3 linked regions of the Callithrix jacchus genome follow. The protein of the gene in region 3 purifies or fractionates together with the protein of the main gene of each other region. This does not show direct contact. Links are inferred from orthologs where the notes say so. Each region holds a gene or a part of one and is shown on either strand. Other genes may lie near its edges. The genes, in order: BAG5, PYCR3 and DNAJB1.

Evidence for each region.
Region 1: the proteins of DNAJB1 (region 3) and BAG5 purify together in Homo sapiens (affinity purification with mass spectrometry; 3 studies listed by BioGRID and IntAct, with this or other methods). This does not show direct contact. The link is inferred for Callithrix jacchus from reciprocal best matches to the Homo sapiens genes DNAJB1 and BAG5.
Region 2: the proteins of DNAJB1 (region 3) and PYCR3 purify together in Homo sapiens (affinity purification with mass spectrometry; 3 studies listed by BioGRID and IntAct, with this or other methods). This does not show direct contact. The link is inferred for Callithrix jacchus from reciprocal best matches to the Homo sapiens genes DNAJB1 and PYCR3.

What each region holds. Positions count from the first base shown.
Region 1 is NC_133509.1:138,386,547-138,396,415, forward strand, and holds BAG5 (BAG family molecular chaperone regulator 5), read right to left. Parts: upstream 6,666-9,869; 5' UTR 6,212-6,665; coding exon 6,114-6,211; exon of another isoform or gene 5,919-6,113; intron 5,199-5,918; coding exon 3,827-5,198; 3' UTR 351-3,826; downstream 1-350. Other genes in the region: COA8 (cytochrome c oxidase assembly factor 8), read left to right, coding at 7,002-7,124. UniProt on the Homo sapiens protein: Co-chaperone for HSP/HSP70 proteins. It functions as a nucleotide-exchange factor promoting the release of ADP from HSP70, thereby activating HSP70-mediated protein refolding.
Region 2 is NC_133517.1:53,987,853-53,997,491, reverse strand, and holds PYCR3 (pyrroline-5-carboxylate reductase 3), read right to left. Parts: upstream 8,111-9,639; 5' UTR 8,100-8,110; coding exon 8,009-8,099; intron 6,716-8,008; coding exon 6,651-6,715; intron 6,057-6,650; coding exon 5,877-6,056; intron 5,605-5,876; coding exon 5,392-5,604; intron 5,081-5,391; coding exon 4,988-5,080; intron 4,810-4,987; coding exon 4,627-4,809; 3' UTR 3,007-4,626; downstream 1-3,006.
Region 3 is NC_133523.1:13,292,794-13,302,753, reverse strand, and holds DNAJB1 (dnaJ homolog subfamily B member 1), read left to right. Parts: upstream 1-4,806; 5' UTR 4,807-4,854; coding exon 4,855-5,065; intron 5,066-5,344; exon of another isoform or gene 5,345-5,654; intron 5,655-6,147; coding exon 6,148-6,728; intron 6,729-7,003; coding exon 7,004-7,234; 3' UTR 7,235-8,403; downstream 8,404-9,960. UniProt on the Homo sapiens protein: Interacts with HSP70 and can stimulate its ATPase activity. Stimulates the association between HSC70 and HIP. Negatively regulates heat shock-induced HSF1 transcriptional activity during the attenuation and recovery phase period of the heat shock response.

The sequences.
Region 1 (9,869 bases), on a different chromosome or scaffold from region 3:
TTTCCAGAATAGTCTCAAAGGTTCTTCTTCTCCTTTCTACAAATACAGTCAATTCCTATTTGAGATGCGGGCATCCTCCTAGAGGAGCAGAGCATGAGGCCCCAACCCTATCACACACATACTTCCTGGGCTGTCTCAGCCAGCACAGTGACCTCGCCACGCGGGCGTGGGTCCTGGCACACACACGCCACTCTCACCTCCTTACAGCATGGCCACCAGCTGCAGCCAAGGAGCCCACCTGCCCCCAGGCCTGCCTGCTCTGGGCTCCAGTAAGGAAGGGCTCCTCACCCGTCAGACAGTCCACGAAGGTGATACTATATAAAGAACACACACCTCAGACTCAGCCTCTCTCCACTGTAAGCCTAAGAGACTGGCTTTATTTCAAGAATAACTAAGAGTGTACTAATATGTGTATCTCAAAATAACACTGAATTATTGAAGACATACTGTTCCGATTGTCAGAGTTGACAGAGGGGACAGGAACCAAGGTACTGGAAACACGCACCTGTATTACAGCCAATATTTCTCTAGTTATTAAGAGAAAAATACCCAACAAATTAAAAGCCAAAAAGCTTTGCTCAAAAAAACCCCCAAAACTTACATGTATAAGCTAAGATCAGACCCTTAAAAATCAGATAGAAATTGACAAAAACAGCTGGGCACGGTGGCTCAAGCCTGTAATCCCAGCACTTTGGGAGGCCGAGGCGGGTGGATCACGAGGTCAACAGATCGAGACCATCCTGGTCAATGTGGTGAAACCCCGTCTCTACTAAAAATACAAAAAAAAAAAAAAAAATTAGCTGGGCATGGTGGCGGGTGCCTATAATCCCAGCTACTCAGGAGGCTGAGGCAGGAGAATTGCCTGAACCCGGGAGACGCAGGTTGCGGTGAGCCGAGATCGCGCCATTGCACTCCAGCCTGGGTAACGAGCAAAACTCCGTCTCAAAAAAAAAAAAGAAAAAGAAATTGACAAAAACAAATAATAAAAACTAACCTTCTCAAACTGAAGTATATCAAATATATACATTTTAGCAACATGAAGCACTAAACTATACTTTGTAGACATACTACGGTGATTTTAGTAACTGTTTCGCTGCAGGCTGACTGGCTCTCCTCTGTGTGGATAAAGCAAGGCTGACAGAACGTAAAGAAGGCAAGCGTTCCCAGCCACGTTTTGCATGATCACGGATTATAGTGTTTAATGCAGACCCAAGGCCGCACATTTTTGGGGAGTAGGTTTTACTTGCAGTACAGATTCTTTTCATGTAAGATCACAAAAATGGAATACAATGTGACGAGCCCAGCTGAAGAATTACATGCAGTAGCCCGTATTAGCACAAACAGCTCCCCATGAGGGCGGTGAAGCGCTGCGTCAGTGTCACCAGGGTTCACTGCGGGAGAATAAGCCGGTACAAGGGACTAGCACAGATTGAAAGCAGAAGCAAAGCCATGCCTCACAGTCACTCCAGGTCAATCTGATCATTTCCATGACCAAAATAACCCGTGAACAATTCAAAATGACCGTGGAAGAGCTGACGCCCTGTACTCACACACCATGCCCAGAGCTTGGCAAAAGGGACACAAACGCTTTTGTTTGAAAAGAATGATGGTGACATCTACCTTCAAAGAACGACGGGCACTTTTAAAGGGAATGCTGACATTTAACTTCACAAAATGGAATTTAAAATGTAAGTGGTACGCTGGTGAAGGACGTGTCTCACGTGTAACCACGATTTCCTGGTGGTATAATTAAACAAAGCTCTAATTTTAAAACTCTTCCTTAAGATTTTAAGAGAATTCTAAAATTATGATACAGAAAAGCAATGTTAAAACTACTCTGGCCAAAATGTGGATTCCAGTGACCTGCCTTGAGCCCAGGGTTGCCAGGTGTTGGGCCTACAGGACTGTGGGAGGCTCACTGCCCTCTCGCCCCACCATCCAGTGGTTCTAGGATATTTCTAGTAGGAAAGACCTATCAAGGGATTTTAATGAATGGGCAGTACTGAGAGACAGAGTGAAGATTTGTTAAGGGCTACGCTTAAAGACTACTCCTTTTGAGATGGAGTCACTCTGTCACCCAGGCTGGAGTGCAATAGCTTGATATTGGTTCACCTCCACCTGCCGGGTTCAAGCGATTCTCCTGCCTCAGCGTCCCCAGCAGCTGGGGGCTACAGGTATGCACCACCACCCCTAGCTAATTTTTGTATTTTTAGTAGAGATGGGTTTCACCATATTGGCGAGGCTGGTCTTGAACTCCTGACCTTGTGATCCACCCGCCTCAGCCTCCCAAAGTGCTGGGATTACAGGTACGAGCCACCTCCACCGACCAAGGCTACTCCCTTAGCTATCATACTTTCAGCTGTTTAAAGTGGTAATTTCCCTACACAAAGTTACAAAATGAGCATCTCTGAAAGTGAGTGATAATACCGTGGAGTTCCAAAGAGGTGCTGTAATAAGATGACTAGGCGAAAGGTGACCCTGGTGAAAGAATCTGTGGTAACACTGGGACCAACAGGTTCAAGGCACTTCAGAACTTTGGGGAATTATTTTGCGTTGGATCCTCAGAAAGGATTTATGGAAATGCACATCCTTTAGCAGAAAAGAGACGCTTCATGCACGACTGACTTTCATGGCTCTTTCAGGCAACAGAGAAACCACCACATGCCCCTAACATGAGCTCAGCTGTTTGGCAGGCACCCAGAGCAAGCCTTTAATTCCCAGCAGGTTTCTCTAACTGGTCCTGGAGCAGGTGATCTTTACGATGTTTACTACGGGAGTGGTTAAAAGCTGACTGCCTAGGAAAACAGGAAGGCGTGGTCCTTCTGGGTTACTGACAGCACTGGGGAGGCGTGACAGGGCTGTCCATCTTACAGCCTTGGACGACAACACAAGAGAGCCATGACATGCTACATTCAGGCCTTTTCGGCTTGGTTTTAATATAACCTGACATTGGTGACCAATCTCGTTTCCATCCTCCAACTACAGGTACGGGTGCTTCCTTTTTCTTTTTTTTAAAAGCTCCATTAACTTCACTTAAATGTTCCCGTCCTTATGAATTACTAAGAAAAACAATAAGCTCTGATATTAAAAAAAAATTTACAGGGTATTTATAGCTGGTCCTTTATCCCTTCTATTTAATGCAATCTCAGAGGTTTTTTGGCTATTAGTTTTCATAATTTTCATGTTGCACACAAAAACAAGATTATTCCCCTCTCTAAAATGTAGAGTATGGGGAAAATACAGATGCTGTTTTTCCAAGTAAAAATGTTTTCAAAAGCATGGACTGTCTGAACGAACCAAAAAAAACCCCACCCCATTAAGCTGAGTAGGACCAATCAGGCCTTAAAACCGAAAAAAAATTTCTGTCGAGCACAGTGAAACAGAACATGTACTGCTTGTGTTTGAACCTCACTCCTATTTAACCCAAAATTTCCCCCTTCTCACAATTCTCCTAGTATTATGTAAGGTTATGCCTATTTCTAGACTGTGAAATACCTGCATTTAATGCTCGCACAACCCATTTAAAATTCACAAAAGCCGCCTCTATTTCATTTTCTGATTAAACACACACACACACGGACAAACCAAACAAACCACACCACGGCATACAGACAGCGGTCTCAATGGAAAAGTGAACGTGTCGTAATGATATTTGTCTTGCAACATCAAAAGCAGCAGATGCCGAACAGAAGTTGCTTGAATCATAAATACTGAGACTGAAATATGCAGGTATAAATCACATTTGGGCGCAATGCACTAGAAGCTCTCTATACATAGAAGTATATATGAAGTGCAAAACAGTATCAGAGGTGAGAAGTCTGGTATTTTAGTACTCCCATTCATCGGATTTCAGGTCGAGATGGCTGAGAATATTCTGGGCAAGCTTCACAGCCTGTTTCCGGGCAGCCTTACACTTCTCCTCTCCCTGCGGGTCGACAGCATCCAGGGCCAGCAGCTGCTTGGTGAGCAGCTCTTCCAGCCGGATGTAGTTCTTATCGGTTCGATTCCCATCAAACGAAAGCACTTCTCCCTGGATCTCGGACAAGTTTCCAAGGACGTTCCAGACGGCTTTATGGGATGGGTGCTCCTCACAAGCAATCAGCTTTCTTTTCTCAAGGGCCTCCTTCAAGTCAATGTACGTGATCAGAGTTTGCACTTCTATCACTGCTCTTCTCCTGGCCTCTCGGATGCAGGGGTTCTTTTCAAGACTTACCTCATCCAACTGTCCAATCAAACCCTGCAATTCTGTTTTGGAGCTCAGATACAACTCAGGGGGGTTCTGCGCTTGGAGGAGTTCATTTTTTATTTCTCTCATTCTCTTGAGGACCTTTTCTATTTTTAAAATGGAATGATTCTGCCTCAGGTCAAATGCTCTAGTAGTGTCTGCTTCCTCTTCTAAATCCAGGTATTTCAATAATTTGTTAATATCTTCCACTACCTCCCTCCGGTAATTTCTGATTTCTGTCCGGCCGCACACATCCAGAGCATCCAGGTCGGCCATCAGCCCGGACAGCACACAGGATAAGTGCCTGCAGGTCTCGCTGCTGTTCACACCCATCAGAAGCGCAATCAGGACCCCTCGGGCCTTGTTCACCTCACACATCACAGAGTTGATTTTGGCAACAGAAGGGTGTGCATCCTCAGACAGCGGCAGGGAAGGCTGCTTTTTCATGCAGTCTTCGATAATCTCTTGCACTGCACAGATTTTGGTTAAAGTGTGATACCTTGCTTTCCGCAAGGAGATCTTTCCTCCAGTTTTAACATGTGTCAGCCTCAGAATGATGTCCTGGATGCCTTCTTCGAACTCATCAGTTATGCAGTTGCCGCCATTATAAAATGGCACAATTTTCTCTCTCACAAGGGACTGGGCTTCCTCAAAAATGCTCTGTATTTCAATCCTGTGTGGGTGGTTTGCATTCTGCTCCAGCTCTTTGAGAAGACGTTCCGTCTCCTGTGCCGCCCTCTTCCTGGCTTGCTGAATATCTCCTTTTCCTTCAGTATCTACAGAGTCTATTTCAAAAAGTTGTTTTGTGAGAATCCGCTCCAGTTTCTTGTAATTCTTGTCATCGGACAGACCACTGAAGCCGACGACTTGCTGTTCTACACTTTTTACTTCCTTTTGGATTTCCTGAAGCCTGCTAATAGAAGGATGTTGGTTTCCCATATCCATACTTTTGTGGTGGTCAGTTTCACAAGCACTAAAAGATGACAAGAATAACTTATTACAGCACAAAGCTTCTGCAGAACATGAATGATATATTAAGACACTAAAATTCTCATTTAAACAGGTATACTGTCATCCCACTTCAGCCTCCCCAGCGGCTGGGGTTACAGTCGCACATCACCACGCCCAGCTAACGTTACCACTTTTAGGAAAGGCACGTCTCACTATATTGCCCAGGCTGTCTGAGACAATCCGCCCGCCTCCGCCTCCCAGAGTGCTGGGATTACAGGTGTGAGTCACTGCACCCGGCACAAACTCTGTTTTTGGAACCAGCAAGGCACCTTTGTGCAACGTGAAGCAGTAGCTCTTGTAACCTGCCAAACATTAACAGCACCCCGCCCCCGCCAAACAGCTATGCCTTAGTTTCCAGAAACTCTAAGCCAAAGACACTGAACCACTAGAACCAAAACCAGGGGCTCTCAGCCATCCCCAAGGTTCCCGCTTCGTGGTTTCTCTCCTCGCCTCTGTGCTCCTCCCTGCCCCACCCTTTTAGCTCCTCACATATCTGCCCTCACAGGTGTCTCCCTGAAGAGCTAAAAACCCCACAGGTCAAGAAGAGCGACGGGGACTGCGCTGAAGGCGCCATCTTGGGCCTTGGAAGCCCAGAACCTCCTCAGCCCCTACCATGCTCCATTCTCTCAAAAAAAACACGACCCGCGAACACGTGGTAATTATGAATAATTCATTCACTCGCTTCCCACTGAGAGTCCACAGTGGCTCAGTACCTGTTTCAAGCTATTGGTTTCTACCAAACGGCGTGCTCGAGGTGGGCAACCGACGGAAAAGCCTCCACCCCCTGTGGGTGTCCTGACGGCCACGGAGGGCAGGCCGCCGGCGCTCCTTCCTCCCCGCCTCGCCCTTCCCTCTTGGCCCTTTACCCAGAAGAGACCTGAGCTGGCTGCAGTCTTGGCGTCCCGTGGTTGAGGTGGGAGGTGGAAGACCAGCCCTTCTCGGGGTGCTGCACCGGAGCTGGGCCCCCAGCTGCATCCCTCGCGCCCCTCCCGACTAGGTCCGAGCCGGGCAGCGGTGAAGGCGCCGCCACTTTACTGCTGCAGCAGCTGCCCCGGGCGTCTCGGCCCGGGTGCCAGGGCGCGCCCGCCGGCCCTGACCTCACAATGGGCGCGCGAGGGGCGCTCGGCCCGGCCGGGTAGAGCCTGGCAAGGAGGGCAGCCGAGGCCCCGCCGGAGACACCAGAGACCAGACCTGGCCTGCCCCGACCCGCGTCAGACCCAGGGGCGGGGACGACACCGGGTCCCGCCCGGTCCTGCCTGTGCCAACAGGCCACGCGGGGGTGGGCGCCGGGACAGGGGTGGCCGGGTGGGGAGCCCCGCGCCGATGTGAGGCTACACTCGTCCCCGCGACGGAGGGAAAAGGCCACACGCCGCACTTTGCTTACCTGTCCCGCCCGCGCCATCGCGCGACGCGCCGCCGACGCCTCCGCGACTTCCGCAGCCCCGGCCGTCGCTCGGGCCCGCCAGCCCCGCCCCGGGCCGAACAACCCCAAACCCGGGGACACCTCCGGCGTCCGCTCCTAGCCGCCGACAGCACCACGCCCACCGCCAGCGCGCAGCGAGGCAGCCTGGAGTGGCCGCGACCAAGGAGCGGCCGGTCGGGTTAGCCTGCTTCGCCTGTCGACCCCGCAGCCGTCGCACCGCAGGGAAAGTGCACGATCGGCCGCGTCGCCGCGCTCCCTCGGGCTTCGCGACCCTGCCGTAAAACGGTCCCTCGCGTCGTCGCAATGCTGCCGTGCGCCGCGGGAGCCAGGCGCCGTGGGGCCATGGTGGCCTTGCGGGCGGGAAAGAAGCGCCTTCTCCTTCCTCTCTGCCGCGCCTTCGCCCGCCGCGGTTGTCAGCTCGCTCCCGAGCACGGCGCCGAGCGCAGGGATGCGGCTCCCAGCGGGGTAAGCTGGCGCCTGGGGACGTTGGGCCCGGAGGGGCGGCCCCAAGGCTCTCGCGTCCACGCCCTCAGTCCGATGGGACCAAGGGTGCCGCCGCCCCGTCGGGGACTGTTGACAGCCAGAAGCTTTAAGCATAACAGAGTCACCTGCCAAGTTTGTGCCTACCTTATTTATTCCTGAGAATTAATTTTTTAATTTGAGACAGGGTTTTGCTTTTGTTGCCCAGGCTAGAGTGCAGTGTCGCGATCTTGGCTCACTGTAGTCTCCGCCTCCCGGGTTCAAGCGATTCTCCTGCTTCAGCCTCCCGCGTAGCTGGCGTTACCGGCACCCACAGGCACCCACAACCACGTCTGGCTAACTTTTGTATTTCTAGTAGAGACGGGGTTTCACCATGTTGGCCAGGCTGGTCTCGAACTCCTGACCTCTGGTGGTCTGCCCGCCTCGGCCTCCCAAAGTGCTGGGATTACAGGCGTGAGCCACCGTGCCCGGCCGGATAGTTGTTCTTATTTGCACACTGTGTGTGGGTATATGCATGTTACCGGCCAAAGATTCGCAAAGAATGTCTGTAGCAAGAAAGAGTGACAAGCAATTTTCTTTTTTTTTTTTTTTTTTTGAGATGGAGTCTTGCTCTGTCGCCCAGGCTGCAATGCAGTGGTACCATCTCGGCTCACTGCAACCTCCACCTCCAGGGTTCAAGCGATTCTCCTGCTTCAGGCTTCCGTGTAGCTGGGAATACAGGCACCCACCATCTCACTCAGCTAATTTTTGTATTTTTAGTAGAGACGGGGTTTTACCATCTTGGCCAGGATGGTCTCGATCTCTTGACCTCGTGATCTGCCCACCTTGGCTTCCCAAAGTACTGGAATACAGGCTTGAGCCACCGCGCCCGCCCAGCGACAAGCAATTTTTTAAGTTCTACTTCGTATAAAGGATGGGAGGCCTTTATAAGAAGGCCTTTTAGCTTCTTGGGAGGGGTGTTTTGTTTAAGGGAGGCCTAGGCCTTGATTCCATCTGTCAGATGAAAATGTTGACTAACTGTGGAAGCTGCTGGAGATAAAATATTCAAGCTAAGCCTGGAAATACTAAGCAGGCTAACGAGGGACGCTGGAAAGCTTGGTTTGCGGGTGGATCACGAGGTCAAGAGATCGAGACCATCCTGGTCAACATGGTGAAAACCCATCTCGACTAAAAACACAAAAAATTAGCTGGGCATGGTGGCGCGTGCCTGTAATCCCAGCTACTCAGGAGGCTGAGGCAGGAGAATTGCCTGAACCCAGGAGGCGGAGGTTGTGGTGAGCTGAGAACTCCAGCCTGGGTAACAAGAGTGAAACTCCGTCTCAAAACAAAAAAAAAAAAACAATAATTAAAGAAGTAGGCGGGCACGCTGGCTTAGGCCTGTAATCCCAGCACTTTGGGAGGCCGAGGTGGGTGGATCACAAGGTCAGGAGTTCGAGACTAGCCTGGCCAACATGGTAAAACCCTGTCTCTACTAAAAATAGAAAAATTAGCTGAGTGTGGTGGCAGACACCTGTAGTCCCAGCTACTTGGAAGGCTGAAGCAGGAGAATCACTTGAACCCAGGAGGCAGAGGTTGTAGTGAGCCGAGGTGGCGCCACTGCACTTCAACCTGAGTGACAGAGTGAGACTCTGCATCAAAAAAGTGGCCGGGCTCCATGGCTTACGCCTGTAATCCCAGCACTTTGGGAGGCCGAGGCGGGCAGATCACGAGGTTAGGAGATCGAGGTGGTGAAACCCCCTCTCTACTAAAATCCAAAAAAATTAGCCGGGTGTGGTGGCATAGGCCTCTAATCCCAGCTACTTGGGAGACTGAGGCAGGAGAATCGCTTGAACTCAGGAGGTGGAGGTTGCAGCAGTGAGCTGAGATTGAGCCACTGCACTCCACCCTGATAACAGCGAGACTTCATCTTCAAAAAAAAAAAAGCTAATTAAAAATTGCAAATGTGCCTGCCTATACATTTTCATTTCTGTTGGGCTGTGGCTATTAGCACACTTTTCTAATTGTAGCTTTGAAGGTCTGTCTAGTTTACAGTTTAAACAAGGAGTTACCAGAGCAACTTGTCAAACAGACACCCAAGTGGCTAGCTCCTTTCTGTGTTACACTGGCCAAGCCCTTGCCTTCTATTTCTAGAGCATAGAAACCCATTCAGCATCTCTGTCTTTGGGCAGAAAGACACAACAGGTATCTGAAAATGTTCTTAAGAGAGCAAACTGGAAATCAACCAAGACTTTTCCCCAGTGGGAGGATTTTCCCTCGCTTATTTTGTGAACTTGTGCTGGAAAGAAATAAGGATTTCTTCATTGTCATATAGACTCTTTTTTTTTTTTTTTGAGATGGCGTCTCCCTCTGTAGCCCAGGCTGGAGTACAGTGGTGCAATCTCGGCTCAGTGCAACCTCTGCCTCCTGGGCTGAAGCGATTCTTGTGCCTCAGCCTTCCAAGCAGTTTGGATTATAGGTGCCCACCACCATGCCCAGCTAATTTTTTGTAATTTTAGTAGAGACAACTCCTGACCTCAAGTTATCCACCCGCCTTGGCTTCCCAAAGTGCTAGGTTAAAAGCATGTGCCACTGCTCCCAGCATTTCTTCCTGTTAAAGTAAAATAAATCTTACCATGGGTCTGTTTTCAAGATGAGAGACCTCTCTGGCCTAAATGCGTTTGTTTGTTTGAGACAGAGTTTTTGCTCTGTTGCCCAGGCTGGAGTGCAATGGCACAATCTTGGCTCACTGCA
Region 2 (9,639 bases), on a different chromosome or scaffold from region 3:
AGGCCCTGGCACTGATGGCCACCAAGGCCATCCACAGTGCCTTAGCGCCACCCTCCTCGGGCTCTCCTCCCCGACTGCCCCTCAAAACGAGTCTGCCTCTCCCAGTCCATGACTGACAAGCTGCCCCTGGGAGGCCTAGTTTGAAAGGTGGAAAGGGCCCCAGGGCCTGTCCAGCCCTTGTCCTGTTCTGCTCTGGCCAGCTCTAGGCCTAGAGTCCTTACGGTGGGACTAGGACGGGGATGCCCATGCCTCCCCAGGTGGGGTGGGGGCTGCCTTCGCAGAGACGCTGCCCGAGCTGGTGTGAGGGGCAGGGGGCTGGCCTGCTTGCCTCCAGGTGCTGGCCCCTCATCCCCACCTGCCTCCAGTGTCCTAGCAGTGGGAACCTTGAGAACCCAGAGTTGCAGAATGCAGGGTAGGCCTGAGGCCTGCACAGGGAAGGGAAGGGTTGTGTACCAGCTTGTCAGTGGGGCAGCTGGAGGGAGTTTCCCCAAAAGTGACTTCTGTACAGGTCCAAGAACAAACAGTTCCTTGGAACTACCACAAGTCAAGAAATTTACACATATATATGTATATGTCTGTATCTGAAATCTGAGAGCTGAGGGCGGTGTGGAAAATTTGGAAAGAAGTAGACTTCCCGAGCAGAGCTCAGAGCAGCAGCCTCCAGGCACACCTGCTGAGTTCATCAGGCCAGCCCCACCTATAGGAAGAGCCTCTGGCCTGAACTGCTAGGAATGGGCTGCAGAAAGCCTGAGGCATTTGGGCCAGAACCTTCCCAGGGGCCCAGGCACCCAAGGTGGGGACATCACCTCTGTTCTGCCAGGCCTGCCTCCAGGGCTCCTAGGAGGAGCTGCTTCACGGCCAGTGCCAGTGAGGGCTGCTCACCTGGGCCTCATCTGCAGCCCGGGCCGCCCCTGGGGCTGCCCCTCAGCGCAGCTACTCATTGCTGCTGCGTCTTTGGCAAGGCTTTCATCTCCAGCCTTTCTTCCCATCTCAGCTCTTTCGCTGGCCTGGGTCCCAGAAGGCTGGCGCTGGTGCTGGCAGACCCCGTCCTCTCATCTGGGTGGTTCTGTCCCACAGTCCCTGGATGGTCACTTTCCATAAACAAGGCAGTACTGGTTTTTGCTATTAAAAAAGAAAAGCAGGTGCAGGCTGGTGGGGGCACTAGGAGGCTGTGAAGAGTGAGTCTGCCTGCTGGCATTTAGTGGTCCGGGAATCCTAGAGGGCTTAAAAAGCACTCCCTAGCATTGGGTGCACTGGCACATGGTGCTGTGTGGCAGAGGCTCGGGCTGCTCTGCCCATGCCTGGCCCCGAGGGCAGCCCCAGCCATGGATCCCTGAGGCCCTGGGCTGGAACCTGGGGCCCTGTCCCAGCCATGCTTCCAGCTCACTAACCCTCTCTGGGTTCTGCTCAGTGGCTGAAGTGATGTAAAGACCCCAGGATTGGTGGCTGTATTGGACCCTGGGGGTGGGGGAACCCTTTGGGAGGCTCTTTGCCAAGGTTGTGCTGGTGCCCTTGCCTTCGAGGCCCGGGCTATGGTGACAGGCTCAGGCTGGGGTGAGGCTGCATCTGCTTCTTTCAACCGCATCCGGAGCCTGGCCTCTTGCTCTGGCAGATTCTGCACATTCCCTGCTGGCACAGGGGTGGGTGGGGGCTATGAGCCAGCTGTCCTCAGCTCAGATGGCCCCCAGACCCCCTAGCTCCCGTTCACTGCTCCTTCAGTTCGTGATCTTGTGTCATTGTCACTGTCAGAGCTCCTGGGCCGGATGGGGCTGGAGAATGGAAGGCGCTGAGGCAAAGATGAGTGCGGGTCCTGTTGAAACCACCTGACCCACAATGTCGGGGGATGAGACCACTGCCTTGACCTTGGGGGACTCCCTGGACATCCACTGAGCTGTGGATGAAACATCAGAATGTAGTGGAAAAGGAGAGCACCCCTAGACTGGGGTTGGTCCCGCAGGGATATCAGCCCCTTGCCTACCTAGTCAAGATGCCCATGGAGAGCGATCCCAACAGCACATGGGGGTCCCTGGGCTTCTGGGGCCCACGATCTGTGGAGGGCTCTTCTAACCGGCAAGCTTATTTACAGCTGAGCTTGCCCACTCGGATAGGCCCAGTGGCTTTATCCAATAAAGGCCGGACATGCCCACTCTGTGAGCATCCCTGTTGTGAAGTCTTATTTTTGTAGCTCTTGATCCAATGCTTGGATCAGGAATACCTCTAGATGAATAGTTGGGGCACAGGACATAAAAGGGGAACACTGATTAAAGAGGACTCTGTAATCCAAAGTCAGAAGGTTGAGACCATCCTGGCCAATGTGGTGAAACCCTGTCTCTACTAAAACACAAAAAACTTCCATGAGGCGGCAAGCGCCCAGAATCTCGGCTACTCGGGAGGCTGAGGCAGGGGAATCACTTAAACCCAGGAGGCAGGGGTTGCAGTGAGCCGAGGTATCACACCACTGCACTGCAGCCCGGGTGACAGAACAAGACTCAAGTCTTTAAAAAGATACCGTGATCACATCCACTATTTTCTATCTTGAAGAACATTTTTGCCTGGCAATAGAAGGTACAGGGGAGGCCTGGGTAACCCACTCCCTGCCGTGCCCCAAGAAGCTAAGGGTGTGTGTGTCACAGGCCCTCACCAGCTGGGCCACGAGTCTAGCTTGGGTCCTCCACCTCCAGAGCTGAGCTTGCCTAGTGCCCAGGGCTTGTCAGAGGTCCCCAGGGGGAGACAGGCCTTGGCTCAAAGCCAATGATTCTCCTTGCAGATGGGCTCAGTGTACATGCATGTGGTCCTCAGAAGAGCTGTCCATGTTCCTTCAGGGGGCAGCCTGTGCCAGACCCCAGCCTCCCAGACCTGCCCACAAGCCTAATTTTTGTATTTTTTTTTTTGTTCTTTTTTTTTTTAAAGCTGGGGTTTTACCATGTTGGCCAGGCTGGTCTGAAACTCATGACCTCAGGTGATCCACCCACCTTATCCTCCCAAAGTGCTAGGATTACAGGCATGAGCCACCACACCAGCCATTTTTGTATTTCTAGTAGAGACAGGGTTTCACTGTGCTGGCCAGGCTGGTCTTGAACTCCGGACCTTGTGATCTGCCCCCATTGGCCTTCCAAAGTGTTGGCATTATGTGCATGAGCCACCACGTATGGCCAGGAACCTGGTTTCATCCACCTCTGGTGAAACATGAGCTCACTTGGTGCCCTCTGGCATCTTTATTCCCATCTCCTTAGGCTGACCCTCACAAGTGCCAGGGCCAGGCTTAGACCAGTCAACTGAGTCAGCCTGCCCTGGAAAACCGGTGGGGGTGGGAGCTTGGGGGTTGGCTAGGCTGAGGGGAGTGAGAGAGAGCAGGCGGAGGGCATAAGTCCGTGGCCAGAGGCAGCTGAGCGTGAGAGATGGAGCATGCTGCTGTCGTGCAGGTACCCTTAGCCCTATTTTGCACTAGGAGATGGATCTGCCCAGGCACACAGGGAGATGGCATGGTGGAACCTGCTGCCCAGCCTCACTGAGGGCGTGCTCCCAGCCTCGCCTCCAGAGCTTGCTGGGTGGAAGCGGACAGCTGCTGCACTCATGGGCCAGTGTGGAAGTAGAGGCCAGGGTGAATCTTGTGGGGCAGGGGACGAAGCTGAGGCCGTCTGGCCCAGGCCCGCCTGACCCAAAGGCCCCAGAACCCCAGCCTTCGATCCTGAGGCTTTGCTTTGCCCCCAAGTCCTGGCTTTCCTGACCTGCTGTCCGTTAGGGACATGTGGAGGGGCTAAGTCCTGCTGTCAGAGGCCTGTGTGGTGGTGCCAGAGCCACAGGGCATCCCAGGACCCCTGACCCACATGAGGGTTGGGAGGCCCCAGAGCCACCTGGCCACTTGCCAGGAGCTTAGGGTCAGGAGGAAAGAGTGAGCCTGTATCCCAGCTGAAGCCGGGGTCTGTGTTTGTCCTGACTGGCCAGGGCTACCCTCCCAGACCTTAAGCTGCCCCATCTAACACTGCCTGCCTGGCGCTGCCCAGCACTGCTGCAGACTTAGCCCAGCAGCTCCTTCTCCTTAGCAGGGGAGAGCACACAGCCACCCAGCTGCCCATGGAGTCCCCACGCACAGCAGGCCAGGGCCCCTGACTTTACTGCGGGGGAGAGGGTCTTTTATGCACACCCCGTATGGCTTGTGCCCCCTAGAGCTGAGATGAGACAGCTGGCCTAGCTGTAGCTGCACGGAGCCACCTGGAAAGCCAAAGGCAGGCCCGGCTCCAGACCAGGCATTGGGCCAGCCATGCCCGTTATCATAAGTTCTGATCATGGCCTTGACCTACAGCCTAACCATGCGGGCACCTGACCAAGACGCCATCTCTTGGGCCCCTCAGAACCAATGTTATAGCAAGGCAGGCTCACTGCAGCAAGGAGCAGGGCTACTACCACAGTGCCTTCTGCCCATGGGAGAGGGAGAAGTGTCCCCACTGGTGGGGTCTCCCCAACCTACTGGAACCTCTCAAGTCCTGCCCCGTGCATTTCCCTGTGCAGGGGGAGAAGGAGCGGTTGGAGACCCTCCCGCAGGAGGGAGAGAGTCGCAGTCCTCAGAGGAAGGGGCACAGGGAGAGATGGGGGCACAAAGGCAGGCAAGGATGGCCAGAGCCCAGCCTACTTCCTGCTGAGCTCCTTGGCCCGGCAGGTGGCAGCCTCCACAGCGCTCATGGTGGCCGCTCGCAGCCCGCCCTGCTCCAGGGCGTGGAGCCCGTAGATGGTGGTGCCGCCCGGGGTACACACATCAGAGCGCAGCTGGGCTGGGTGCTGGCCCTCGTGCAGCAGCATCTTGGCTGTCCCCTAAGGAAAGCATGAGGGCCTGGTGACCAGGGGAGGTGGCACGGCACCCACTGTGCAGCCTGCCCTCACTGCATCCCTCAACCTCAGCCCCAGCTTCTCGAGCCTACTATTTCCCTGCCCACTGAAAGTGGTACAGCCTGGGCCTTCTCAATGGTCCCCGGGAGCCACCCTCACTCACCAGCAGGGTCTGAGCAGCGATGCGGTGGGCCAGGCCACTGGGCATACCCATCTTGACGGCACCCTCAGCCAGGGCTTCGGAGAATGTGCACACCTGTAGTAGCGGCATGGTGGCGGGGGAATAGGTCTCAAAGCTGGGGGGCTCAGAACTTTCAGGAACAAGGCCCAGAGCACTCACTGTCCATGGATGGCCAGAACCAAGGCCTGAGCCCAGGAGTCTGCAAAGGGGCTGGCCCCAAAGATCCCCAAGGCAGTGAAGTTCTGGGGACAGCAGAGCCCCCAGTGGGCCTGGGACCAACCACGCAGGCCCCAAGGTTGGACTCTGAGGGCAGAGGCCATTAGAGGGACTTGGGCAGGCCTCTCTTTACTAAGGGTAGGGCAGGGGACGGACAAGGCAATACTCACAAAGGCCACGCCACTGCCACTGAGGCCAGTGTGGATGTCGATGTAGGCTTCGGGTACCTCCTCACACCGCCCACAGGCCTCCAGCAGATGCTGCAGGAGCTCGGTCTCGCTGCTGCCTACGTGGCGGCCCCGTGTCATCACGATGGCCCCTTCCTGGACCATGCAGGGCAGGTTGGGCAAGACCCGCAGCACCCGTGTGTGTGGGGGCAGCAGCTGGCCAGAAAGAGGTTAGAATCAGGGAGCCTGTGGGACTGGGCCCTGCTGGGCAGGCATCAGCAGGGGCATCAGGAAAGGTCCCCATCAGCTAGCTGCAGGCTCCCGCGGCTGCCTCCCAGGTACAGCACCAGGAGGGAAGCTTAACCTCAGCCATCGCACCCAGCTAGGCCACCTGGCCACCTCTCAGGCTCTCTGGAAGGCTGCCTGCCACCCAAGCTGGCCAGCAGAGCCTAAGCTGGGACCAAGGCCTTAGCCCAAGGGATACTCACCTCCTCCAGGGTGCTCAGAGAGACCCCAGCAGCCACGGACACTAAGATGTGTTCAGCGGTGACCACAGGAGCCACCTCTGCCAGAACAGCTGGCAGGATGTGGGGCTTGGTTGCAAAGATGACGAGCAGGCAGCTCTGCAGCACTTCCTGGTTGGAGTGGGTAGTCCGGCAGCCCAGAGCCTGAGCCAGGGACACCAGGACCAGGCCTCAGGGGCTGTGTGAGCAGCACACCCTCCTCACCACAGCCCTTCCTGCTGGTGGCCACACATTCCCAGGGTCCCAGGGCCTCTCCCATTGCAAGTGTCTAGACCACCCCCATGTCACCAGTGCCCGAGATTCACCCAGACTAGACCTCCTCCTCACAGGCAGTTCTGATGTCAGCACCTCCCCAAGCCCTGAGCCCTCCATCCCATGAATATCCGTGGCCACCATCCCAGCATGCACACACACACGTGCACACGCACGCACTCATGAGCACGCACTCACATACACACATGCACACACAATCACACTCACATGCACATACGAACTCACACGTACACACATACATGCATTCACGAGCACTCACAATGCACTCATGTGCACACACGTACTCACATGTGCACACACGTGGTACACGCACACACACACTTTGCTATGGCTCTCCACAACCTCCCTTTCCCCAGTCCAGACCAGCCAGTCTCCAAACTTCAGCTAAATAAGCCACCCATCCCTGGCTCTGGTAAGTGTCTTAGTTGGACGGGAGCTAAGAGTTATCCTGCGCTCTGTGCTCACTTGGAAGTGACATAGGTTCCTGTCTGTCGGTGCACTGGCCAGTATGTGCTGAGCTTCCACTTTTCCTGGAAAGGAAAAGGAAGAGGGGTTGAAGGGGTAGGGTAGGATGGCAGTGAGGAGAGGGAGGAACTCGCCTGGCCTCTCAGGCTCAGCCACACCTGGCCCATCATGGGCCCCCTTCTGGCCTCAGGAACCCAAACCAGGGATGCGCCATTCACTGGGCCCAGGCACTCAGATCCACTGACTCTACTTGGCAGTCAACGTCCCTGACTGCTGCTGGGTATGGAGGCCAGGAGCTTGCCTCGTTGGTGAGGACACAGATCCCTGGGGCCTCTGCCTCCAGGGAAGGGAAGGCTGCCTGAGGAGAAGAGGCAGTACTTCTAACACCAGGCTTTGGAGGAGTGTGGAGGGTACAAAAGCAGCTGATTTATGGCCACAGAAGGCCCAATGGGGGCCCAGGTTCCTCGGGAGGGAGAGTCTGTTGGGATGTCCACGAAGAGGCTAAATGCCTACTTGGTAGAAACATGCTTTTGTGGAGTACAGGGGTGGGGAGATAGGGTTAGATTTTGGTAAAGTCGAACAGGAAGACAGAAGTGTATACCACAACCTGAACGCAGCTACTAACCATGACAGTGGCAGCCATACACAGCAGTATTAGGCTCAACACTACACATATACATCTAATTACCCTGTACAGCTCTGGGAGGCATGTAATACTGCCGGGTTTCACAGGTAAAACTAAGACCTCATAGGAAGCTATTTTCCGATTCATCATGACTCCTCTGAACCCTGAAATATGGCTGAAGGCAGAGAGCCAAGAGTCACCCAGCTCTCCCCCAGTCTGCAGAAGGGCTTCTAAATGCCTGGAGAAGTATATGATCAGCGCAAACATCCCGGCTATAGAGCCGTGGTTCCGCCAGAGATGATTTTGTCTGTCTCCTCCTCCCACCCAGGGTGCATTCGGCCGTGTCTGGAGGCACTTTTGGCTGTCACAACGTACGGGTGCTACTGGCAAAGGACGAATGGTGTCACTAGAGCCAAGGTGTCTGCGGAGAAGCCCTGCTGTTCCCCAGAGAGGGGCTGGTGCACAGAGAAAACCAAAGGCTGGGAGACATGAACCTGGCTAAGGCCACGCGGCCAGGAAGCCGGCCACGGAAGTGGCACCAAGCCACGTGTAACTCAAATCTTCCCACAGCCACGTGAAAAAATTACGAGCAAACAGGCGTGTCCCCGGCTGAGCCCAGCGCAGCGGAGGCCCGGGTGCCTGGGCGCGCGCCCTCCGCCCCAATCTCTCGGAAGGAAGCCTCCCACGGGGCTGTCCCACGCCAGGCCGCGAGCCGAGCTCCGCGCCGCCCCACCTGCTCTAATGAGGCCCTGCGCGATGGCCCCCGCCATGCGACCGGCGCCCACGAAGCCCACGCGCCGCGGAGCCTGCCCTGTAGCCGCCATCTTGTCGCACTGGCCGCCGCCGCGCTGGCCGCCCATCCACAGGCCGCGCCCCACCCACAGACCTCGGCCCTACCAATGGGACACGCCTCCCCGCCCCCCCCGCCGATTGGCTGCCGGGACCTCACGCTCCGGGCCCGCCCGGCTTTTTGTCCGCTCTCTACTGGTCCGCAAGGCGCGGAGGCTCTGCCTCTCGCTGCTTATTGGCCCGAAAAGGCTATCCCCCCTCCCCTCACTGCCCATTGGCTGAGAGGAACCGAGGGTTGGCGGGGCGGGCGGGGCAGTAGCGCTCGAGCTGCCGGGGTTGCCTGGACCGGTCCCAGGCGCACGTGCGACGAACAGATCTTCGTTTTTCGGAGGGGAGGGGTTGCGAAGCGGATTACGGGGCTGGTCGGGAGCCTGCGGTCCCTGAGGCTCCACCGACCACAGACGGGGGGCCGCGAGGCGGCACTAGGGGCGGAGGCCCAGGTCACAGAATGCTGGCCGGGGCCAGGGGAGGGGCCGACGGGGAGGGGAGGGGGACAGTGGGGGAGCGGAGATGCTCGTCATTGTTTTTGTTTTTTGAGACGGAGTCTCGCTCTATCCCCAGGCTGGAGTGCAGTGGTGCGATCTCAGCTCACTGCACTTATCTCCCAGATTCAAGCGATTTCCCTGCCTCAGCCTCTGGAGTAACTTGGGATTACAGGCGCGGGCCACCACGCCCGGCTATTTTTTGTATTTTAGTAGAGATGGGCTTTCACCTTGTTGGGCAGGCCGGTCTTGAACTCCTGACCTTGTGATCCGCCCGCCTCAGCCTTCCAAAGTGCTGGGATTACAGGCGTGAGCCACCGCTCCCGGCCGTCATTTTAATGATACAAGAAAAATTAGGTTTGAAGATCTGAGTCTGGTTTTGTTTTCGTCGTCCAATCTAAGGCTTCATGTTACAGACGTTTTGTTGTTTTAGTCTGAAGACTTTGGCATTTCCTGAACTCTTCAGTAGTTAAATCCTCTCACTGATTCAACATTTACTGTGCAGTTGCAGCCTCTGGGCCCTGCCCTAGGCCTGGGCAAGACCACCACACAGCAGCAGATGGGACAAGCCAGATCACAGCCTACCGCCCTGTTTGTTGGCAATGGAGACAGAGCAGTCGGCACATGCAGGGGATGGCCAGGGTGTCAAGGCTCTGAAACAAATGACGTGGAGCGGGACAGAAAGCCACCAGGAGGCTGCTTCGGCCACCACAGCCAGGAAATCTGGTGGTGCAAAGCATCCGCTTTGCACTAGCTCTCAGTGCCAGCAGCTGTCTCTCCTGCCACCCAGGATCCTGCCAGCCCCTTCCAAAACAGACCCCCTGGATTTTCTCCCAGGCCAGTGATGGCTTGGGACCAAGTCTGTGGAGGTGAGAGGGGCCAGAGACATCCAGCACCATGCCATCATATATAAGGACAAAGCTCATCATAAACACGTGGACTGAGGCCAGGTGAAGAGGGTTGCTGGCTCAGTGCCCAGGGCCTAGGGGCATTCAGCTTCTCCATCCCATGCCGGGCCGGGCTTCTGAGCATC
Region 3 (9,960 bases):
TTTTGAGCCTGGCTTCTTTCACCCATATAATGCATTTCAGGTTCATCTGTAACGGGTTTTTTTTTTGTTTGTCTGTGTGTCTGTAGCTCGTTCCTTTTTGTGGCTGAATAGTATTCCATTGTGTGGATGGATCACATTTGTTCATTCATCTACTGAAGGACAGATTTAACAGCTGCAACTAATAACTGATAAAGCCTCAGCAAACATTTGCTCATGAAATTTCGTAAATGAACAAAAGTTTTTATTTCACCTGGGTATCCCATTAGGAGTGGGATTGCTGGCTTATATGGCTGTAGTGCTTTTGACGGTCTTTTTTTTTTTTTTTTTTTTTTTAATTATAAAGACGGGGTTTCACCATGTTGGTCAGGCTGGTCTTGAACTCCTGACCTCAGGTGACCCGCCCTCCTTGGCCTCCAAAGTGCTTGGATTACAGGTGTGAGCCACCATGCCCAGCCTTTTTTTTTTTTTTTTTTAAGATGGAGTCTCGCTCTGTCACCCAGGCTGGAGTGCAGTGACATGATCTCAGCTCAGTGTAACCTCCACCTCCCAGGTGCAAGTGATTCTCCTGCTTCAGCCTCAAGTAGCTGGGATTACAGATGTGTGCCACCATACCTAATTGTTACCTTTTTAGTAGAGACAGGCTTTCACCATGTTGGCCAGGCTGGTCTCAAACTCCTGACCTGAAGTGACCCACCTGCCTCAGCCTCCCAAAGTGCTGGTATTATAGGCATAAACCACTGCACCTGGCCTTGAAGATCTTTTTAAAATTTATTTTGTCCTACCTGCAGATACCAAAGAAAAAAAATTAAAATTTATTTTGATTTTTATTTATTTCTGAGACAGGGTCTCACTGTTGCTCAAGGTAGAGTCATAGCTCACTGCAGCTTGGAACTCCTGAACTCAAGTGATCCTCCCACTTCAGCCTCCCAAGTAGCTGGCATGTGCCACCATGCCCAGCTACTTTCTTTTTCATTCTTTGTAGAGATGGAGTCATTATGTGGGCCAGTTTGATCTGGAACTCCTGGGCGCAAGCAGTATTCCTGCCTCAGCCTCCAAAGTGCTGGGATTACAAGTGTGAGCCACCACACCTGTCCTGAAGGACTCTTTGAACAGATGAAAAGCTGAAGACAGGAGTAATGCAATTTTTTTTAAAGCTTTATGATCATCTAAGTCACATTATACACAAGCTGAGTGTCTACTGAAAGCACTCAGTATGCTAAACACTTCAGCATTTTACTCACTGGGTGACCCTATGGAAGTCACATGACCTCTCAGAATCTCAGTCTCCCCACCTGTAAAATGGGTGTAGCAATAGCCTAGCCTTGGCCTGGCATGGTGGCTCACACCTGTAATCCCAGCACTTTGGGAGGCTGAGTCAGGTGATCACCTGAGGTCAGGAGTTCAAGACCAGCCTGGCCCATCTCTACTAAAACTACAAAAAATTAGCTGGATATGGTGGTGCTTGCCTGTAATCCCAGCTACTCAGGAGGCTGAGGCTGGAGAATCGCTTGAACCCAGGAGGCGGAGGTTGCAATGAGCTGAGATTGTGCCATTGCACTCCAACCTGGGCAACAAGAGTGAAACTCCATCTTAAAAAAAAAAAAAGATAGCCCAGCCTCATAGAGCTGTTGTGACAATTATATGAGTTAATATTCATTGAGCACTTGGAACCGGTTTGGTCATGTCAGTGTTAGATGTTGTTACATGCCTGTAATCCCAAAACTTGGGGAGGCCAAAGCTGGCAGATCACTTGAGCTCAGGTGTTTGGGACCGGCCTGGACAACAATGGCAAAACCCCATCTCTACCAAAAAATATAATACAAAAAATTAGCCGAGCATAGTGGTGGGCACCTGTGATCTCAACTACTCAGGAGGCTGGGGCGTGAGGATCATTTGAACCCAGGAGGTGGAGGTTGCAGTGAGCCAAGATTGTGCCACTGTATTCCAGCCTGGGTGACAGTGTGAGACCCTATCTCAAGAAAAAAAAAGGTGGAGGACTGGTTCAGTGGCTTACTCCTATAATTCCAGCACTTTGGGAGGCGGAGGCAGGTGGCTCACCTGAGATCAGGAGTTTGAGACCAGCCTGGCCAACATGGTGAAATCCCATCTCTACTAAAAATACAAAAATTAGCCGGGCGCCAGGCACGGTGGCTCAAGCCTGTAATCCCAGCACTTTGGGAAGTCGAGGCAGGTGGATCACCAGGTCAAGAGTTTGAGACCAGCCCAGCCAACATGGTGAAACCCCGTCTCTACTAAAAATACAAAAATTAGCCAGGTGTGGTGGCACGTGCCTGTAATCCCAGCTACCTGGGAGGCTGAGGCAGGAGAAGCGCTCGAACCCGGGAGGCAGAGGTTGCAGTGAGCCAAGATCATGGCACTGCACTCCAACCTGGGTAGCAGAGCAACACTCCTTCTCGGGGGAAAATAGGAAAATATATATACATGTTGTTCTCTCTCCCCATGATTGGTTCAGGACCCCTGCTCAAGTACAGTTATCAATGTCTAGGGAATTTCAGCACCCATCCTTCCTGGTTGTCCAGTTCTAGTCCAGAGTTCTTTCTGATGTGGTTACCTCGCAGGTCTTTGTGTGGGCAGAGAGAACCAGCTCCGCCTGATGGGCAGCAGGGCAGGCTGTGGCCATGGTCTTTTTCCTCAGGAATCCCTGTCTGCCCAGGCACAGCTGTCACTGGAAGCTTTCAGCTGTGATGCTTCAGGAAGAGGGTGATGGCTGAAGAGCACACCACTAAGCAAAATGGTTTGTCACCCCTTTGGCAATGCTTCCTTTGTGCCATGTCTGTCCTGAGCACTTTGCAAATGTTAACTCATGTAAACTTCAAAGCCCTTTTGATGTGGGTGTGACTGCTATCCTCTTTGTACAGATGAGGAGGCTGAGGCCAGCAATGGCTAAGTAACTAACCCCAGGTCACTCAGCCAGGAAATGCTGGAGCCGGGAATGAAGCCCGGCTGTCTGGTTCCAGAGCCAGTGTTACATGGCCCTGACCCTCCCGGACAGTTCTTCCAGGAATCTCCCCCACATCCTTGGGCCCTTCCCCAGTAGAACCCCTTTCTGAGCCTCCTCTTCCCATCAGCCCTGTTCTTGACCAAGGCACCCCAGACTTTCAGAACCAAATGGGATCACGTTGCCCACAACTGAGGAAACAGAGGACTTGAAAGGTGTATGACACACCTATGTCCCCCAAATCATAAAGGTAGTGGGAAGAGAAAGAGATTCACTTAAGAACGGGGAATATTTATGAGGCTCTGTATTCCAGGCCTTGGTGATCCAGTGCAGACAGAACGTGGCCTCTGCCCAGGTGGCAATCTCAGACTGGGAGGGAGGATGCATGCCAAGGAACAAGATGATTTCAAATTTAGCAGCAAGTCCTCTTGAGAAGGCAGTAAAGTGAAGGGGGTGGAACTGGGAGGACCTTGGGAGGTGAGCTTTCGTCCAGATCCTCACCTTGCTTTAGGAGGTGAGACCAGAAGCCATCTCCGTCGCAACGGCCTTCTCCCCACATCTGGGAGAATAGTGCTGGTGGGTTCTTTGTTCATTTTATTTTCTCATTATGTTGGTTTTTTGTTTTGAGAGGGAGTCTTGCTCTGTCACCAGGCTGGAGTGCAGTGGCCCGATCTTGGCTCACTGCAACCTTAGCCGCCCCGGTTCAAGCAATTCTCCTGCCTCACCCTCCCAAGTAGCTGAGACGACAGGTGCATGCCACCAGGCCTGGCTAATTTTTTTGTGTTTTTAGTAGAGACGGGGTTTCACCATTTGGCCAGGATGGTCTCAATCTCTTGACCTTGTGATCTGCCTGCCTCAACTTCCCAAAGTGCTGGGATTACAGAAAGTGCCGGCCTTTTTTTTTTTTTGAGATGGAGTTTTGCTCTGTTGCCCAGGCTAGAGTGCAATGGCTGATCTCAGCTCACTGCAACCTCTGCCTCCCGTGTTTAAACTATTCTCAGGCCTCAGCCTCCCAAGTACCTGGGATTACAGGTGTGTACCACCGCACCTGACAAATTTGTTATTTTTAGGAGAGACAGGGTATCACCATGTTGGCCAGGCTGGTTTCGAACTCCTAACCTCAGGCGATCCACCCAAAGTGCTGGGATTCCAGGCGTGAGCCACAGCGCGCTGCCTTTTGGTCATTTTAAACAGCTTCCTTATGTTGCCTAGGCTGGTCTCCAACTCCTAGCCTCAAGCGATCCTCCCGTCTTGGCCTCAGAAAGTGATGGGACTACAGACGTGAGGCCCGGCGCCCAGCCTGGTGCGTTCTTTTATTTCCATATTACAAATAAAACGGGGCTCCTGGGTTAGGCAGACACAGGCAGTTCGTGCAGCGTCACCCGGAGGGAGCCCACAGCGGGCCCAACGAGACAAGTGTGGGCAAGTTCATCATCTCCTGGGGAAAGGTCGGGGTAGCCCCAGGCCCCACCCCTTCCCTAAACGGCACCTTCGTCGTGCCTCCCGACCCACTGACTCAGGCGGAGGGCGGGGCGCAGAGTCGCTGGGGCCGCGTAGAGAGTGAAAGAAGGCCACCACTGGCTCGTCCCGGAAGTTGGGCGGGGCCTCCTCCGACCTGGGTGCGCGCCGCGGGGAGGCGTTGCCGACGGCGGAGCAGGAGGGGGTGTGGCTCCGCGCGGGCGGCCGTTGACGCCGAGGCCCCGCTCCGGATGTCGCGCGTCGCGGACTGGGCGGCGGCGATTGGCCGGCCCGGCTGGGGGGGGCGGGGCGGAAGGTTCTGGAGGGGGCTGGCGGGCTCTGGAAGCTTCCGCCGGACGGGTATATAGAGTCCGGGACCGGGCGGCGGTGGAGCCGGGGTACGGCGGTTGTGGGGCGGCGGGCCGCAGGCGGGGGCCATGGGCAAAGACTACTACCAGACGCTGGGCCTGTCCCGCGGCGCGTCGGACGAGGAGATCAAGCGGGCCTACCGTCGCCAGGCGCTGCGCTACCACCCGGACAAGAACAAGGAGCCCGGCGCCGAGGAGAAGTTCAAGGAGATCGCCGAGGCCTACGACGTGCTAAGCGACCCGCGCAAGCGCGAGATCTTTGACCGCTACGGGGAGGAAGGTGCGTGGGCGCGGCCCCGCCGTTTGACAGGCGGGGAAACCGAGGCACGCCGGCCGCTCTGGGTGCCTCCCCCCTCCGGGGAGGACGCCCCGGGCCCGGGGGCTAAGCTGCTCCGCCCTCGGGCCAAGCGGGCCTCCGCCCTCGGATTGGTGGCCGCGGGGTGGGAGGAGGAGCCTTGGCCCAGCCGCTCGCCCAGAATCTTCTAGCAAGTCTGGGGCTGCCCCTCCCTGGGCGCGTCCTCCCGAGGCCCGGAGCAGCCCCGGGGTGCGGTGCAGGGGCAGTGGGGCCGTGTGGGAGCCGGAGGGCGGACGACGGGGACGGCGCGGCGGAGCGCACTGCGGGCCGGGGCTTACCTAGGTTCGGCCGCCGGGGTCTGCAGGGCGGCGTCTCAGGTTCAGCTGCGGGCGCCGGGCTGCGAATGCGGGCGCCGACCCTCGCGGGCTTGCGGGCGGGGATGGGATAATACCTGGAAAGCGATGACCTGGCCCCGGCCGGGCACGCAGGAGGCAGCGGCGCCCACTGCGGCCGCCCAGGTGCAGAGAGCGGGGCTTTTTGTCCATGTGCTGGTTGATGACTCAGGCTGGATTCTGGGCTTAATTGGAGGAATGAACTGACTTTCTATGCAAGCATGGTGGCAGTGAATGCTAGTGTGTGAGGGTTCAAAAACTCCCCATCTATTTTTTTTCCTTATTTTTACTCTTCTCATCAGTGGTCCTAAAATGTTGAGAGTAAACACTTACCGAAAGCCCACCCTGGACCGTGTCTTAAGCCATCCTTGGTGACATAGCCAGGGGGATGAGTCAGTCCAGGGATGGTAGGGCATGGGTGGCACCTGGAGGTGGATACCTAACTGCATGAGTCCTTTGCCACTGTCACACTACACGGAAGTACTGGGGTGGGGGGCGTCTCTGCTGCTGCAGTGAGAGGTAGAAACCTGGGGTTCTTCCTCGCTCTCCCCTGACAGGCTAAAAAAAGTTCCTCCCCCATGGCTTCCAAGCTTCCTCCCCCCAGCCCCCAAAAGGGAAGCTCCTTGAGAGAGGCTGCTGTTCAGCCATCTGACTGCTTCCAATTCTGCTTTTTAGGGCTAAAGGGCAGCGGCCCCAGTGGCGGTAGCGGTGGTGGTGCCAATGGTACCTCTTTCAGCTACACATTCCATGGAGATCCTCATGCCATGTTTGCTGAATTCTTCGGTGGCAGAAATCCCTTTGACACCTTTTTTGGGCAGCGGAACGGGGAGGAAGGCATGGACATTGACGACCCATTCTCTGGCTTCCATATGGGCATGGGTGGCTTCACCAACATGAACTTTGGCCGCTCCCGCCCTGCCCAAGAGCCCGCCCGAAAGAAGCAAGATCCTCCAGTCACCCACGACCTTCGGGTCTCCCTTGAAGAGATCTACAGCGGCTGCACCAAGAAGATGAAAATCTCCCACAAGCGGCTAAACCCCGATGGAAAGAGCATTCGAAATGAAGACAAAATCTTGACCATCGAAGTGAAGAAGGGGTGGAAAGAAGGGACCAAAATCACATTCCCCAAGGAAGGAGACCAGACCTCCAACAACATTCCAGCTGATATTGTCTTTGTTTTAAAGGACAAGCCACACAATATCTTTAAGAGAGATGGCTCTGATGTCATTTATCCTGCCAGGATCAGCCTCCGGGAGGTAAGGTGCCAGGTGGGGCAGTGGCTGTAGATGGCTGCTCTTTGAAGCAGATAACTATTTGCTGAGCAAATGTGTTGGGGCATGTGGTACATGCCAGGTTAGGGGCACAAAGTGAACAGGACTGCTGGAGCTTTCATGGTGGTGACGTGTAGATCTGGGAACCAGGTCTTGGCTGCACAGGCCTGATGGGTCTTACTCTTTGCCAGATGGCCTCTGGGCAAGAGCTGAGCCTCTTGAGCCAGCTTCCATCTAATGCTGTCCCTTTGCTTTCCAAGGCTTTGTGTGGCTGCACAGTGAACGTCCCTACTCTGGACGGCAGGACCATACCCGTGGTGTTCAAAGATGTCATCAGGCCTGGCATGCGTCGAAAAGTTCCTGGAGAAGGCCTCCCCCTCCCCAAAACGCCCGAGAAACGTGGGGACCTCATTATTGAGTTTGAAGTGATCTTCCCCGAAAGGATTCCCCAGACATCAAGATCTGCACTTGAGAAGGTTCTTCCGATATAGCTACCTGAGCTCTCCAGACTGACTAGGGACCTTTCCAGAGCTCAAGGATTTCTGGACCTTTCTACCTATTGTGGACCATGAGAGGGCGGAGGGCCCAGGGAGGGTTTTCATACTGCTGAATGTTTTCCAGAGCATATATTACAATCTTTCAGAGTCATACACTAGACTTAAGTGGTTTTTTGAGCAATAGGACATCAGGTGGTGGGAACAGCAGGAAAAGGCATTCCAGTCTGCCCCACTGGGTCCGGCAGCCCTCCCAGGAGGGGCCCACATCCTCCTCCTCCAGTCCCTGTCCAGGGGTGAGAGGCAGACAGACCAGCAGCTGGACTTGATGCTTGTGTCCCTTTGCTTCTGGCTGGTAGATGGTGTCAAGCTGCCGCCAGACCCTGTACACTCCTCCGTCTCTGTTGTGTGATCAGTTTGTGATTTATTCTGTATTTGTCTCCCATGTCTTAATCTTCCCCTGAAGAATCCTGTCTTCTCTTTGGCCATCTCAAATTGAGAACCTCTAAACTATTCCTGCAGAACTGCCTGGCTGGCGCCCACAAGCAATACCTCTTGTTCCAGCAGGACCAAGGGAGCCAGTCTCCAGCAAGTGACTCCAGTAAGTGCAGCACCTCTCGCTGGAGGGTGTGGAAGCCCGGCCCCAGCAAGGGACCCTCCGGACCTCTGGCTCTAGGGAAGCTGAATGTGCTCACTGTGGGTCACACTTTCCATTTCTGTCAGGCAATCTTGTCACACCTGGGCCGTACCAGTGGCCTAGGTAATTTTTTGTTTCATGGACTCTGGACTCTTTCAAAGGGATCTGATCCTTTTGAGTTTTGCACAGCCCTAGATATAATCCCTTTTGATAAAAGGGTCTTTGCTTCTGATTACAGGAGCACTGTGGAACGTCTGTAAATATGTTTTTATAATTAATTCCGTGTATAGTTGGTGTACACTCAAATAAAACCAGTCCCCAGCAGCCGCTGCTCTCTGTACAGGGCCATAATGGAATTCTGAAGAAATCTTGGGGAAGGAGGGGGAGTTGGAACAAATGTCTGTTCCCTCGACACCAGTTGGGTGCTCAGACCTTTAGACTCATTGTAAGTTGCCACTGCCAACATGAGACCAAAGTGTGTGACTTGTTGATGCAGTGCGACAGCATTAAAGACTGATGCTAAACCTCAGGAGAGAAGTCCTGTGACTCTGTTTGAGGGTTCTGCTGGTTTGGGGGGGTGGAGTGAGGACCTGGGCATCCCTCCAGGTGCAGTCAAGATGGGAGGGTGGGATGGGCTGGAGGCAAGTACCCTGCAAGAGAAAGATAAGTCTCCCTTCCTGGGCCTGAAGTGGGTTGGAGAACTTCCACCCAGACTCTGGGTACAAACAACCAGAGACCCAAGCACACTGGCCTTGGGGATCATTTTTTGATGAAGGTTGGGGGAGGCAGGGTGTAGTTCCTAATACTCCTCCTTTTCTTCAGGGCCCCTGGCTTTTCCAACAGACCGCTGCCCTGGGGCCAAGGGGGCAACCCAGGGTCTGGCCTCTTAATTCCGTATCACTCCTTTCCTGCTAGAACTGCTTGCACGTCCTGAACTTGGCCAAACCGGAACTCCAGGGCCTGCCCAGGACTCGCCCCACCCTAGAGAAGCCCCATTTCCTGCCTTGGCTTTATTTGTAGGCCACTGAAGCTGCTTTTACTTTGTAACTTTTTTTAAAGAGCTGGTTTTATTATAAGGTAAGTAATTACTCAGGCTTAAAACAATGTATCACTGCTTTGCTGCAACATGTTCCCAAGTGGAAACATTGTATAAAGACCAGGAGCAAGGCTCAGGGCTGTCACCACAGGGCTTTGGAAGACCAAGGTGGGCAGATCACTTGAGCTCAGGAGTTTGAGACCAGCCTGGGCAGCACTGAGAAACCTCATGTCTACAAAAAATAAAAATTCAGCCGGGGGTGGCAGCGTACACCTATAGACCCAGCTATTTATGTGACTGAGGCAGGAGGATCACTTGAGCCCAAGAAGTAGATGACCCAGTGAGCTGTGTTTGTGCCATTGCCCTCTAGCCTGGGTGACAAAGTGAAACCCTGTCTCAAGAAAAAAAAAAAAAAACTATAAAAGTCAAACTGGACCAGGCATAGTGGCTCATGGGTGTAATCCCAGCACTCTGGGAGCCAAGGTAGGAAGATCACCTGAGGTCAGGAGCTTGAGACCAGCCTGGTCAACATGATGAAAACCCCATCTCTACTAAAAATAACAAATTAGCCAGGCATGGTGGTACACGCCTGTAATCCCAGCTACTCAGGAGGCTGATGCGTGAGAATCCCTTCAACCTGGGAGGTGGAGGTTGCAGTGAGCAAACGTGCTGCCACTGCACTCCAGCCTGGGGGACAGAGCGTTGTCTCAAAAAAAAAAAGTCAGGCTAAGAGTTGCTTTCCCTTCCCACTGAAACAGTTTAAGCACTGAAAACGGTCTAGGGGCAGCTCTGTCAGGCCAGGAGGACTTTGTGTAATGACTGGAAAGTTATATATACCGTTAATTAAAACATCTTACAAATTCAATAAACTTAGACTCTGTTCCTCAGTGGCTCCTGCCATGCTTCAGTTGCTTAGCAGCCCACAGATGTATATAGCCAGTGGCAATTGCTAGACAGGTCACGTCTCCAGGCTTTTCCCCAAAGGTAATACAGTGTCACTTTGAAGAGCAGCCACATTAAGCCAGGAGATGCCACCCCCATCAGGAGGTG